Bombyx mori: one gene and its partners. The protein of the gene in region 1 binds, or shares a complex with, the protein of each later gene. Links are inferred from orthologs where the notes say so. Each region holds a gene or a part of one and is shown in the gene's direction. Other genes may lie near its edges.

Region 1 (4,120 bases):
GTAGGACGTCTTGTGAGGCTGCATAGGTAGCTACGACCCTGCCTATTTCTGCCGTGAAGCAGTAATGTAAAAACGGAGACCTTAGAACTCATATCTCAAGGTAGATGGCAGCATTTACGTTGAAGACGTCTATGAGCTCCGGTAACCACTTAACATCAGGTGGGCCGTAAGCTCTTCTACCCACCTAAGCAATGAAAAAAAATAGTTTACGGGAAATGAAACTTACCTGGTTAATTTTTAGATAAAAGATAAGTTTAGGTTTCTTCATTAAACCTGTTAGTAATTGTTATCGATTGAATAGAAACGCGTTGTATGCGGTCACTACCATAAAAAGAACAACATTTATCTATTAACGTCGTAACGTGTGCCACCACACCCTTAGTCTATTTACAAATTGGCTGTTAGTGTGAATGCTGATAATTATTACGATTCTGTTAAGTTAATTAAGATTCTTTGTATATACTATTGCAAAATACATACAGATTTGTGAGTAAATTAATTAAACTCTTTTTGACTTCTTCTAAAAGATAACTTCAACATAGAGTAACCAAGCTCAACAGTTTTGCCAAATCATATTCCTTTTTCGGTTTCCATGGTCCAAAAGATTTTATCCAAAAATTATGTAAAAATGTATTTTAATTGGCGGAAATGAGCGGATAAGCTCGTGAGCACAGCGTGAATATCACCCTCCTTGACACATGGGATCGAAATCTGAATTGCATCTAACTATTATCCACACTAACCTTCCAACGAGAACAGACAATTGGCTCGCCGTAGAAATAGAGAAAGCCTTTTAAAAGAGAGAAAAACAGATACAGGAATGGCGAGAGATTTAAAAAGAAAAATAGCTAAGGAATATATTATTACTCTCACACATCAATACTGGTATACTTTCACGTGTTTTTTACTTTCAATGATTTCATTATTAAGAAAGTTGCAGTTTTCAACTCAGTTCAGTAAATTAAAAAAAAAACGTTTTTTTTTTATGAAACCGTTATATCTATAAGGACCTATTGTTATGTGTATAATACACTGCTTTAATGCGTATTTTTCAAGGCTACATAGATCATTTATTTGAGAGAAAATTGTAATAACATTTAAGTACAAAACAAATGTAAGTTGCCATACAAATAAACGACAAGTACCTAAATAATCATTCCAAAACTTCTAGACTTAAAATAATATAGAAGCTGTGTACTCTGTGTCAGACATTTTGTCGTTACCATGGCAATCGGAGGCTGCCTCTTATTCAGAACCAGCGATCAATGTTTAATAAGGTTGCCTCATATATAACGAAACAAAATTATTAAGTTAAGTAAAATTTTCAAAAGATCTCCTTACTTCTTAGCATTCTGTGTAAAATATGCTATTATTGTATATAACAAATGAAAAACATCAAAAATTAAGACGTATTTACATAATACAACGAAAAATACAAAACAAAATCTTAAAACTAGTATCCAAAACGAAGTAAATCAACATTTATTTGTGTTTAAATAAAATTACTAAAAGAATCCACCAATATTTACTTAACATCGACAGCCCTGAATCTCGGCTCGACCTGAATGCGCAAAGGCTCACTCTCCGTCGAGCTTCCCTCCGGAAAAGTGCGCGTTTTCCCTCCGTCATCCGTCATAGCTGTACCTCAATATACTTTTGTTTCCAACCCCAGCCTTTAACGTAAACAGTGCTCTTCAAACAATATGACCACTAATGACAAATACATAGGTACGTTTTACAGATCTTATGTACTTAGTTATAAATACTTATCGAAAAGTGGTTTTGTCAATAATTTAAATTTAAGCTCTGTTTTATTTTGTATTTATTAATAAATTTATATTTTTCTAAATATATTTACTACTTGGAACATTAATTATTAATTTGAACCTGAGATAAAACTTTAACTGCGCAATAGACTTATTCGTATTTGACCTGTAAAAATCAACCCCTAAAATATTAAAAATACGTTTTTTATACAATTACGCAAGTGCCAATTGTATTATTTATAAATATAATTTTATTAGAATGAAATCAAAAGATATGACAGAAGATGAGTGCAACGGTGAGGAGGTGATTCCCATACCAGTTCAAATATTTCTATGGAGACAGACCACACCTTTTGTTCGACCACGTCTTGGAAAATTACATGACTCTTCATGCATGGTAAGCAAATAAATTTAAAAAAACAAATCAGTTTTGATGTTTCAATTTTACAGTTTTTAAATTCAACAAGTAAGTAATAATGATTTCGTTAAATTCAATGAAAAAAATTAAAGAAAACAAAGCATTACAGACAACCTTACTTGATCAACGGCATTTGTAAATACGCAATGTTTTTGTTAATATTGTGAAATAATAATTTTAATGAACGTTTATTAGAACTAAGATTCGTATCCGCTTGTCGAGTGTCAGCAAGCTTGAGTCTGAATCAAAGTGCTACGAGCTAAATTACGTTCACATTTCTTTTTGTACTCGCACCCTGTTGTAATGTGTTAAATATAAATTACTTATTTGTTCGTAAACAGTTCTGTCAACGCGCTCCAGGACATCATGTAAGTTCACGTTATGCATAGATGTTCAATAATGCACGTTAGTTAATTAAATGATGAGATCTATGAGGGCTAGTGTTTTTATTACTATATTTTTTTTTACAAACAACGCTCACGTCTGCTTTTATTTTACCAGTAGCAGTATGTTAGCTCTCCATCTACTTGTAATACGTCACTGTTATTTAAGAAAACTCTGTTTAAGTTTGAGACTTAGGTACAGTATAGTGGTTCTGCGGGCTAGATAATTGTTCTAGGCCGTGTTCTTCCACCGCGTTTCTGCTTTTTTTTTTTATTGCCTTGATGGGTGAACGAGCTCACAGCCCACCTGGTGTTAAGTAGTTACTGGAGCCCATAGACATCTACAACGTAAATGCGCCACTCACCTTGAGATATAAGTTCTAAGGTCTCAGTATAATTACAACGGCTGCCCCACCCTTCAAACCGAAACGCATTACTGCTTCGCGGCAGAAATAGGCAGGGTGGTGGTACCTACCCGTGCGGACTCACAAGAGGTCCTACCACCAGTAACAACGCAAATTATAATTTAGCGGATTTGATTTTTATTACACGATGTTATTCCTTCACCGTGAAAGTCAATCGTGAACATTTGTTGAGTACGTATTTCATTAGAAAAATTGGTACCCGCCTCGGATTCGAACACCGATGTATCGTTCAACACGAATGCACCGGACGTCTTATCCTTTAGGCCATGACGACTTCCAACGACCACAACTTCCACGACTGCTTTCATTTTTGCTATTGGTTTGCTTGACTATGCTATAGGTATTTTCGGAACTTTTATCTTATCCTTAATCTTAATCCATCAGTAGCATAGACAATGGTTGCAATTAACGGTAGCACATTCAATGGCGCATTAACACCTTACTGTGTATATAGGTACGAAGAAATTTCGATGTTTGTGAAACAAACGTTCTTTTGTTTTTTTTTTAAAGTAAAATAATTGGCAGTCGCTCTAGATGTCCCCTAACCTAACAAAGGTGGCGTCAAAAACGTCAAGCTACTTATATTGTCTGAATTGTTTTGTCATACTTAGGTAGACGGCCCATCTAGTGATTAGTGGTTACCGAATCCAATATACGCTATAATGATAACTACCATGAGTCTTGAAATTGAACTGTTGAAGTTTCAATTCAGTTGCAGTAAGCTTAAATTAAATTACTAAAACATACTCATGATTAAACTTACTCTGCTATTCTCGAACATATCGACGCTTGAAAGGCAAACGTGACTAAACGACAATAACTGCTTTATACATAAATGATAGGCAATAACCATATTCAATGCGCAAAAAAAATATATTTCTAGGTCTATTTAAATCATTTCAATCCTACAGCTAGATTCGTTTAAATTTTTTTTTTTCAGGTATTTCAACTTTAAATTAGTCTACTGTAAAGTTCACGCATTGTCGCTTAGTCACGTTTGCCTTTCAAGCGTCGATATTTTCAACGTTACCTCACCTAGTAGATAACTTCACTTTTGGTTCGTTATGTACTTAGTATTTATCATTATGAATCTGCACATGTATAGTTAGCATTTTGTTGCCTAAATAA
Region 2 (3,652 bases), on another chromosome or scaffold:
GTTACTTTTTCTACGTACGCACAATAACTGCTTATTGTCTCAAATACAACTTAGATAAGCCATTGTGCTTACTGCCGTGCATGTAAGCGAGCCGCTTCGATACTAGTATGTTTCTTTTTATATGTTATGTACATCTAGGAAATTCTGATACAGAGTGAGGAAAACACAAGCCTTTCATACTCGGGTATCGACAGGATCGGTCCTGTAGATCAAATGGTAAACAGTCGACGTCGCCCTAAACACGTCATTACGGATCTTCCCGATCCATTAACGGTGCTTTTAGGTACCTTAAGCACCGGTCCCATCGTCGCCGAACCCGTCGCTTGCGACAATTAACCCATAGACACAGCCCACTGAGTTTCTAGTCGGGTCTTCTCAGTGGGTCGCGTTTCTGATCTGGTGGTAGATTCTGCGAAGCACTGCTCTTGCTAGAGCCAGTGTTAGCAGCACTCCCGGTTTGAGCCACGTGAGCTCACCTACACGTTAGGGTGAAGCTGAAATAGCCTCTCAAGGCTATCAGCTTAGCTAGGAAAAAAAAACCAAGCGTTTGTTTAGTTACATGTATTAGATTACAATCAAAATGGCACTTAACAGCATGATGGGATAATGATAAAAAAAATATTATATTTTAGCTACTTTTAAATTTTGCTTTAACTATATTTAGAAAACACATCTATATTTAGATTAGCAATCAAACTGCCATTTACCAAGGCTTTCAAGAGTAGCTATAATTCATCGAAATTATTACCTACTTAAATAATGTTTAAAAAATGATGATAATGTTTAAAAAATGACAATGACCGCAGGTAGCATTAAATTTTGAGTTTTAATAATACATAAGGATCATAAAATCTACAACGAATTTGAGTAAAGTTGATGAAAACCTTAGAAATACTAAATAATCATATATTTTAAGGAGTTATTATTTGTGTTTATGAAGTAAGTGATGTTTACAATTATATATAAAATTCTCGTGTGACGGTGTTTGTTGCAAAACTCATCCGAAATGGTTCAACCGATTCTCGTGAAAGCTTGTGTGCATATCGGGTAGATCTGAGAATCGTTCAAAATTTATTTTTCATACCCGTAAATGTTTAGGACGGTTCATTAAAAATTTTTTTTTTCTAGAAACGAATTCTTCTATGTGGCAAAACAACGTTAGCCGAGTCAGCTAGTATTTTATAATAACGTTACGCCGGTAAGAGTAGCACCATCTATCGTCGAATAGTCGAACGAATATCGAAGGATCTAGTAGCATCTAGAACGCTCGAGAAGTACAACGCCATCTATTGTCAGATAGCAGAAACTACTACTAGAGATGTGTGGAATATTCTCCATAATTCTAGGGATGAAGTATCGGTTATAAAAGTGTTGTAGAGATGGCACACAGTCAGTAATCGGAAATACTCGAAGCGAAACAGCGAACAGATCACCTGAAGCGAAGCTGAACAAGCGAATTGAGAGTTTTAAAGTATTTGTTGACTGTTTTAAAGTGTTTGTGAAGTGCTTCAGTGTTCTAAGTGTTGAATACAGTGATAACTGGTAATTCGGTAGAATTTTATTCATCCCGGACGCCAGCGCGTAGGAATAATTAAAAATTCTAAACCTAAAATTGTACCTAGTGAATAATTGTATTCAGACAAATCTAATTGTATCACGTTCAGTTCCCGCGACGTGTGCGAGTGTGTGTCCCGGGTGAGGCTGGTGTCGTGGCTGCTCGCCGGCGCGCTAAGCAACAGTCGGTCGCAGCCACTGCAGGTCACCATACCGTGCGACGCCACCTGCCATCTCACTGACCACATCCAGGTAACCATTACTGGCGGTAGGACCTCTTGTGAGGTACCACCACTCCGCCTATTTCTGCCGTGAAGTAGTAATGTGTTTCGGCTTGAAGGGTGGGGTAGCCGTTGTAACTGTACTGAGACCTTAGAACTTATATCTCAAGGTGGGTGGCGTATTTGCGTTGTACCTAAATGTCTTTGGGCTGCAATAACCACTAAACACCAGGTGGGTTTGAAAAACTGTCCTGGTGAAACTGGAAAGGCCTCCAGGCCACCAGTATCCTTCAATCCTTAAAAAAACCTTCCGGTGCAGACTATTCTGTCCTGGTACGCGGAGTCGTCCCGCGTAGAGCCGCGTGAGTCCCGTGCGGAGTCTCGCGGCGGGCCCCGGTTGAGCGCGCTGTGTCAGGCGCTGTGTCTGTGCCAGCTGTGGACGCTCTATCTGGAGCAGCTGGGAGCTGCCGATGCGCTGCTCGACTTCTGGTGTAAACTTCTGCCGGCATTGTTGCACCTCGCTCATTCCTCGAAGCTGGTCAGTACCACTGATACCCTTCCTAATACTGTTTTTTTTTTCATGTAATAACTACATTTTCTCTTTACTTTTGTTATTGATATCTTCTATCTATTTATATATATATAAATGAATTGCTGTTCGTTAGTCTCGCTAAAACTCGAGAACGGCTGGACCGATTTGGCTAATTTTGATTTTGAATAATTCTTTGTGGAAGTCCAGAGAAAGTTTACAAGGTAAATAAATATGAAATTGCCCGGAATTAAATAAAAATAACAATTTTGTTTTTCCTTTCATGTGTCCCCCGTCGGACGGATTCGTTTTGTTTGTTTTAAGTTTGTATTTTTTATTTATTGGTTGAGGCAATACGAAGTCTGCCGGGTCAACTAGTTTCAAATAAAAATTCAAGAAACCATTTAATGACATAAAACTTCCTAAACAAAGAGACGTAATTGGTTTGTAAAGCAGACGAGAAAATCGAACTATGTACTTCTATACTAATATTATAAAGAGGAAAGATTTGTTTGTTTGTTTGTTTCGAATAGGCTCCGAAACTACTGGACCGATTTGAAAAATTCTTTTTCCATTAGAAGCCGACATTGACCCTGATGAACATAGGCTACTTTTTTAATTTTTTTTTTATTTTTTTTTTTTGGTTTCATGTGTGTTTTAATGTTTCCGAAGCGAAGCGAGGGCGGGTCGCTAGTATTTTATATTTGACTAGAGTTACGAAAAAAAAAGTATGAAATCATACATCATCATATCGCACATACGGTGCGATAACGTCACTTAGGCAAATTATGTGATTTTTCAGGAGAAATGATGGAAAATTCAACATCTTATTATATATAGTTCTTATATATTTCTGCTAGACTAAAGAAATAAAAACGATAACATTTAAACAAAAAATTTAAACTTCAGTAAAATCAGTAAAAGCAAACATCTCACTGATAACTATTAAAAAATATATTTTCTCATACTCAGTTCAGTTTTAACAAAAAATGCATAGTTAATTTATAGCACCGTATGTATAAACTTAATTAAAACTAATTTACCGATTTAACGATTCAATTTCGCTTTTATTATTTTTAGTAGACTTTATGATAAACGTAAATAATTCAGCAGGTCGGAAAAAGTAAAATGGAAAATGATAAACGTGTCATTAAAACGTAAAAGTGATTTTATATTTAAAATTTAAAATAGTCATTTATTATACTTCTTCTCAGTCGTACACTCCTGGCGAGTGGTCGTGGTTACGTATGTCTTAATGTTTGGTTGCGGCTTTTGAGAGACTTCTCCATCTTTCTCTATTTGTGGCGGTACGCGTGCATTCAGTAAGGGAACACTTCGTAGATAACTT
Region 3 (3,652 bases), on another chromosome or scaffold:
TCCAAAAAACCGTGATTAAATTGCAGATTGTACTTTCGCTCTTCGTTGCCGTCATTTTAGACAATCTCGAGCTGGACGAGGACATAAAGAAGTTAAAACAATTAAAGTACCGACAGCAGAGCGCCGAAATCAAAGAGAGCCTGCCGTTTAGATTGAGAATATTCGAAAAGTTCCCCGACAGTCCGCAGATGACGAAGCTACACAAAGTCCCTGGGGATTTTAATTTACCAAAGGTAAACAGTTTATATATTATCGGACATTATAAAATTTTCTCACCCTATTCCCACGGCATATTTGTTTTGGGTTTGTTTTTGACCAGCTGTCTACTGTTAACCCTGATAGCCCTTCAAAATGTAAATATATAATAGGTATTAGGGAAAGTCGAAATGTTTTCAACAATTTTTAGTATGGTTACTGAAAAGGAATTATGTGGACAGCCACGAAGGAAATTAAGGGGAGCGTAGAACTCTAATGGGCGCTAAATCAGATTGGTAGTAATAGTTCAGTAGACGAGTCCGTGACTTAATCAGTAAAACGCCCGGTGTAATAGTAACTAGTACGTGTTGACAAACGATTGCCAAGGAAATAGCATCCTGTAATGTATTGAATCAGGTATTCGTATCTAGTATGTGGGCTTTATGTACTACTCAATATCGAGTGAATCGTGGCTTGTTCTTTGATACAGAAATATAAATAGCAGAGTCGTCGTGTCGTTTCCAGGTGCGAGAGTCGTTCATGCGGCAGTTCGTGTGCGAGGTGGAGGGCGAGGAGGAGGCGGGGGGCGCGGGGCCGGGGGGCGCGGACCTGTCCCGCCGCACCTTCGAGTACATCAGCGTCGCCAAGATCGCCTTCCCGTACCGCAAGCGCTGCCTCGTCAAGACGCTGGTGGTGGCGCCGCCCTCGCAGCGACCCAGCTCGGCGCTGCGGAGACACGTCGTCACCTCCATTATAGAGTTCGTCGATTTCTTTGATGTTAACTTATTTTCGATTTTTAGCTTTATGCCGTCATCGGTTTATTATATTTTGATTTTCTTTTTTTTTTTGCAGATTTAGTTTTCGTTCCGAGTATTATTTAAAAAAAGGTTTTTAGCTTTTTTGTTTTTTAATTTTTGCTGTATATTTATTTGAAAACAATGCTCCAATCCGACTTTAATTTTAGGGACTCCAATAATCACCGACCGCTACTGGGAGACTCTGCAATGTTAGCGACCGGAGGGAAGTCAGGTCTGAAACCTCAAGGCACTATATCCAGTGCGAAACAACTTCGCGTCGATCAAAAAAAGTAAGCCTCGAAGGTCACATTAATAAATATGTTTGCGTGTTATGATTTTACAAATTTGTTTTATTGTGTATTTGTAGAGTAAAATTGGAAAACTTACTGCGTAGGTTCGGCTCGCGTTCGATAAGACGGTCGGTCCGAAGCGGATCCATCAAGTTGAAGCAGACCTATGAGCATTTGTTAGAGAACGGCGACATCGGCGCCGCGTCGCGCGTCGTGCCCTCGTCGCGAGCGCGCCCGCCATACCTCGACATCCGCTTGCTGCAAGCCAAGAGGCAACAGGCCGAAATGCGACGGTACCTACTTTTTTTTTATTGCTTAGTTGGGTAGACTAGCTCACAGCCCACCTGGTGTTAAGTGGTTCCTGGAGCCCATAGACATATACAAAGTAAATGCGCCACCCACCTTGAGATATAAGTTCTAAGGTCTCAGTATAGTTACAACGGCTGCCCCACCTTTCAAACCGAAACGCATTACCGCTTCACGGCAGAAATAGGCGGGGTGGTGGTACCTACCCGTGCGGCCTCACAAGAGGTCCTACCACCAGTCAAAGTATCTACGACTGCTCAGGAAACAGACATTTCTTAAATTAGATCATTTTTTAAATTAAACAATATATTCCAGAAATCAACGTGAAGAAGACCTCCGCGAAAATCACCCGTTGTTTGATACGCCGCTGCTAATAGTGCCTAGAGAGTCACGATTTCGAAAGATTTGTCGAGCCATTGTCGACGCACGGTATGACGCGAGACTTCGAGATCCAATTACTGGCAATGAAAGGAAAGTGCACTACAAAAGTTTTCAGTAAGTGTCGATAATGACTTTTCGATTAATTTGAGAGACCATATTATACAAAAAAATTCCACAGTAGAAAGTCTGTTTGTCATAATAACTAGAGTACACACAGTTGTCGAAAATCGACCCTAATCATTGAGATCTCAAGATTTATATTTATTTTCTGTTTCATTTTGTTATAGAAAATTGTCTTTGGAGCAATAGGCAAAAACTGTTGACAATCATTTTTTATTGAAACTAAATTGAAATTGAAACCGAGAGAAGAAAAATGTACTGAACCGTTCATTTAAATTAGTGAAATATAAATAATTGATTTCAGGCAAAACTAGAGTATGAAATGAATGAAGTAAGAAATCAAATTGTCAAAAAATAATAACTAAATAGCTTAATATGTCAGGCCTGTTAAAAACCACTACTTTGCATAAGACCATGTCGATTCTAACTCCGCTGGCGTGTGAAAAAAAGGCAATACAAACAAACACATTTCCTATCTATAATACCTTGTTATAATTTCAGTAATTTCCTCGGCTTAGTAACTTACATGGATTGGGTAATGATCATGGTGACGACGTTGTCGTGTTTATCTATGATGTTCGAAACACCCACGTACAGAGTCATGGAAAACTTCGTTTTACAAGTGAGTTTCATTGGGAAACTGGTACGATTAATTAAGTGAAACTTCTTAGCCATCGATTGAATAATTTGGTATTAGCATCAGCAATTTGTTTTTAATTAAACTTCGATTGAGAGTTTACAAATAACTGAAGTTTTTTGTTATGCTTTAAGGCTTTCCTGTAAAATTGCAAAACTGTCGCTTAAACAAATTAGCTTTTCACCCCTCGATATAGTGCAATTACTGTCCTGGTAAATTTGCTGTAACAATTATCTAGAAATAAATACGAATAAACAATAAGTTTTTTCTCCTACCGACGCCGAAAGTTCGGTTTTCGTCCCGCTGTACAGGGAAAAAACTGAAGAAAGTCTAACTTTTTCTCCCTGGGTACTGAGAAGTGCGCATGCGCGTAAATTCTCCGCCATTGTTGTGCTCGGGTAATTTGCAATATTGTGTTTAGTGTAAAAGTGAAATAAACAAAAGGCAGTAAAATTTAATAGTGAAGTATTGTATTAAACAAAGATGAGTTCATCAGACAGTTCTTATTCAATTAGTAGTAGTTTATTTAAAAACAGTTAAATTGTTTTTTTTATGAGTATGGGGGGCTCCGCACCCCCCCCAACACCCCGCCAGGCCTACGCCCCAGGACGCCACCAGGGCTTCGCCCCTTGACCCCGGCTCGGTACACCACGGGTGCTAAGTTTTTTACAATGTCGAACTTTCGGCCTGGTAGGAGAAAAAATAGTATGTGCACCGTGGGAATAAAGTAGGACATCTCAGGAAATGTCGAACTTTTCTCCCTTGGTGCACAATGTACTACTATAGTTCCGAGAAAATAATCTCATAAAAATAAAATATTTTCATTCATTAGGTAAGTAATTCGACTAATAATAATTAATTTATTGAACATTAAATCTTTGCAGATTGCAGAATACGGCTTCGTGATTTTCATGAGCCTCGAATTG

Evidence for each region. Proteins that work in one complex are often made in the same cells at the same time.
Region 2: the proteins of protein unc-80 homolog (region 1) and protein unc-79 homolog are in contact, whole or in part, in a cryo-EM structure (PDB 7W7G), measured with the Mus musculus proteins. The link is inferred for Bombyx mori from reciprocal best matches to the Homo sapiens genes UNC80 and UNC79. Residues at the interface, in NP_780719.2 of Mus musculus: Gln23, Thr24, Trp27, Ser31, Leu34, Arg35, Pro36, Ala80, Pro83, His84, His87, Ser94, Asn95, Asn180, Ala183, Leu187, Phe190, Leu191, Arg337, Leu340, Gln341, Pro342, His343, Arg1317, Asp1320, Glu1321, Asp1324, His1545, Val1546, Asp1547; in XP_030102533.1 of Mus musculus: Thr120, Tyr123, Ser127, Ala130, Thr131, Leu168, Ser169, Ser172, Met175, Ile176, Gln179, Tyr180, Tyr207, Tyr211, Gly212, Pro213, Ser214, Val390, Cys391, Glu394, Glu402, Phe405, Arg472, Cys541, Asp917, Phe920, Ser965, Glu966, Phe967, Ser968.
Region 3: the proteins of protein unc-80 homolog (region 1) and sodium leak channel NALCN are in contact, whole or in part, in a cryo-EM structure (PDB 7SX3), measured with the Homo sapiens proteins. The link is inferred for Bombyx mori from reciprocal best matches to the Homo sapiens genes UNC80 and NALCN. Residues at the interface, in NP_115893.1 of Homo sapiens: Lys1979, Asn2004, Glu2005, Cys2006, Asp2007, Leu2128, Arg2129, Leu2130, Pro2131, Pro2134, Arg2135, Ile2138, Asp2139, Phe2142, Phe2145, Ser2146, Glu2179, Asp2184, Glu2185, Met2187, Leu2188, Asn2191, Asn2194, Ile2198, Leu2199, Glu2202, Ser2226, Leu2227, Ser2228, Gln2231; in NP_001337678.1 of Homo sapiens: Asn639, Met643, Val644, Ile646, Lys648, Leu649, Pro650, Phe653, Val655, Pro656, Lys657, Ile658, Arg659, Glu660, Phe662, Met663, Lys664, Gln665, Phe666, Ile667, Arg669, Val711, Ser713, Arg715, Ala716, Arg717, Leu719, Lys722, Glu723, Ala725.

What each region holds. Positions count from the first base shown.
Region 1 is NC_085112.1:7,810,081-7,814,200, reverse strand, and holds the start of protein unc-80 homolog, read left to right. Parts: upstream 1-1,234; 5' UTR 1,235-1,728; intron 1,729-2,024; 5' UTR 2,025-2,025; coding exon 2,026-2,163; intron 2,164-2,525; coding exon 2,526-2,552; intron 2,553-4,120. UniProt on the Homo sapiens protein: Auxiliary subunit of the NALCN sodium channel complex, a voltage-gated ion channel responsible for the resting Na(+) permeability that controls neuronal excitability.
Region 2 is NC_085113.1:1,066,890-1,070,541, reverse strand, and holds part of protein unc-79 homolog, read left to right. Parts: intron 1-1,664; coding exon 1,665-1,806; intron 1,807-2,094; coding exon 2,095-2,313; intron 2,314-3,652. UniProt on the Homo sapiens protein: Auxiliary subunit of the NALCN sodium channel complex, a voltage-gated ion channel responsible for the resting Na(+) permeability that controls neuronal excitability.
Region 3 is NC_085110.1:9,105,443-9,109,094, reverse strand, and holds part of sodium leak channel NALCN, read left to right. Parts: intron 1-26; coding exon 27-233; intron 234-720; coding exon 721-953; intron 954-1,159; coding exon 1,160-1,282; intron 1,283-1,359; coding exon 1,360-1,575; intron 1,576-1,903; coding exon 1,904-2,083; intron 2,084-2,590; coding exon 2,591-2,711; intron 2,712-3,610; coding exon 3,611-3,652. UniProt on the Homo sapiens protein: Voltage-gated ion channel responsible for the resting Na(+) permeability that controls neuronal excitability. NALCN channel functions as a multi-protein complex, which consists at least of NALCN, NALF1, UNC79 and UNC80.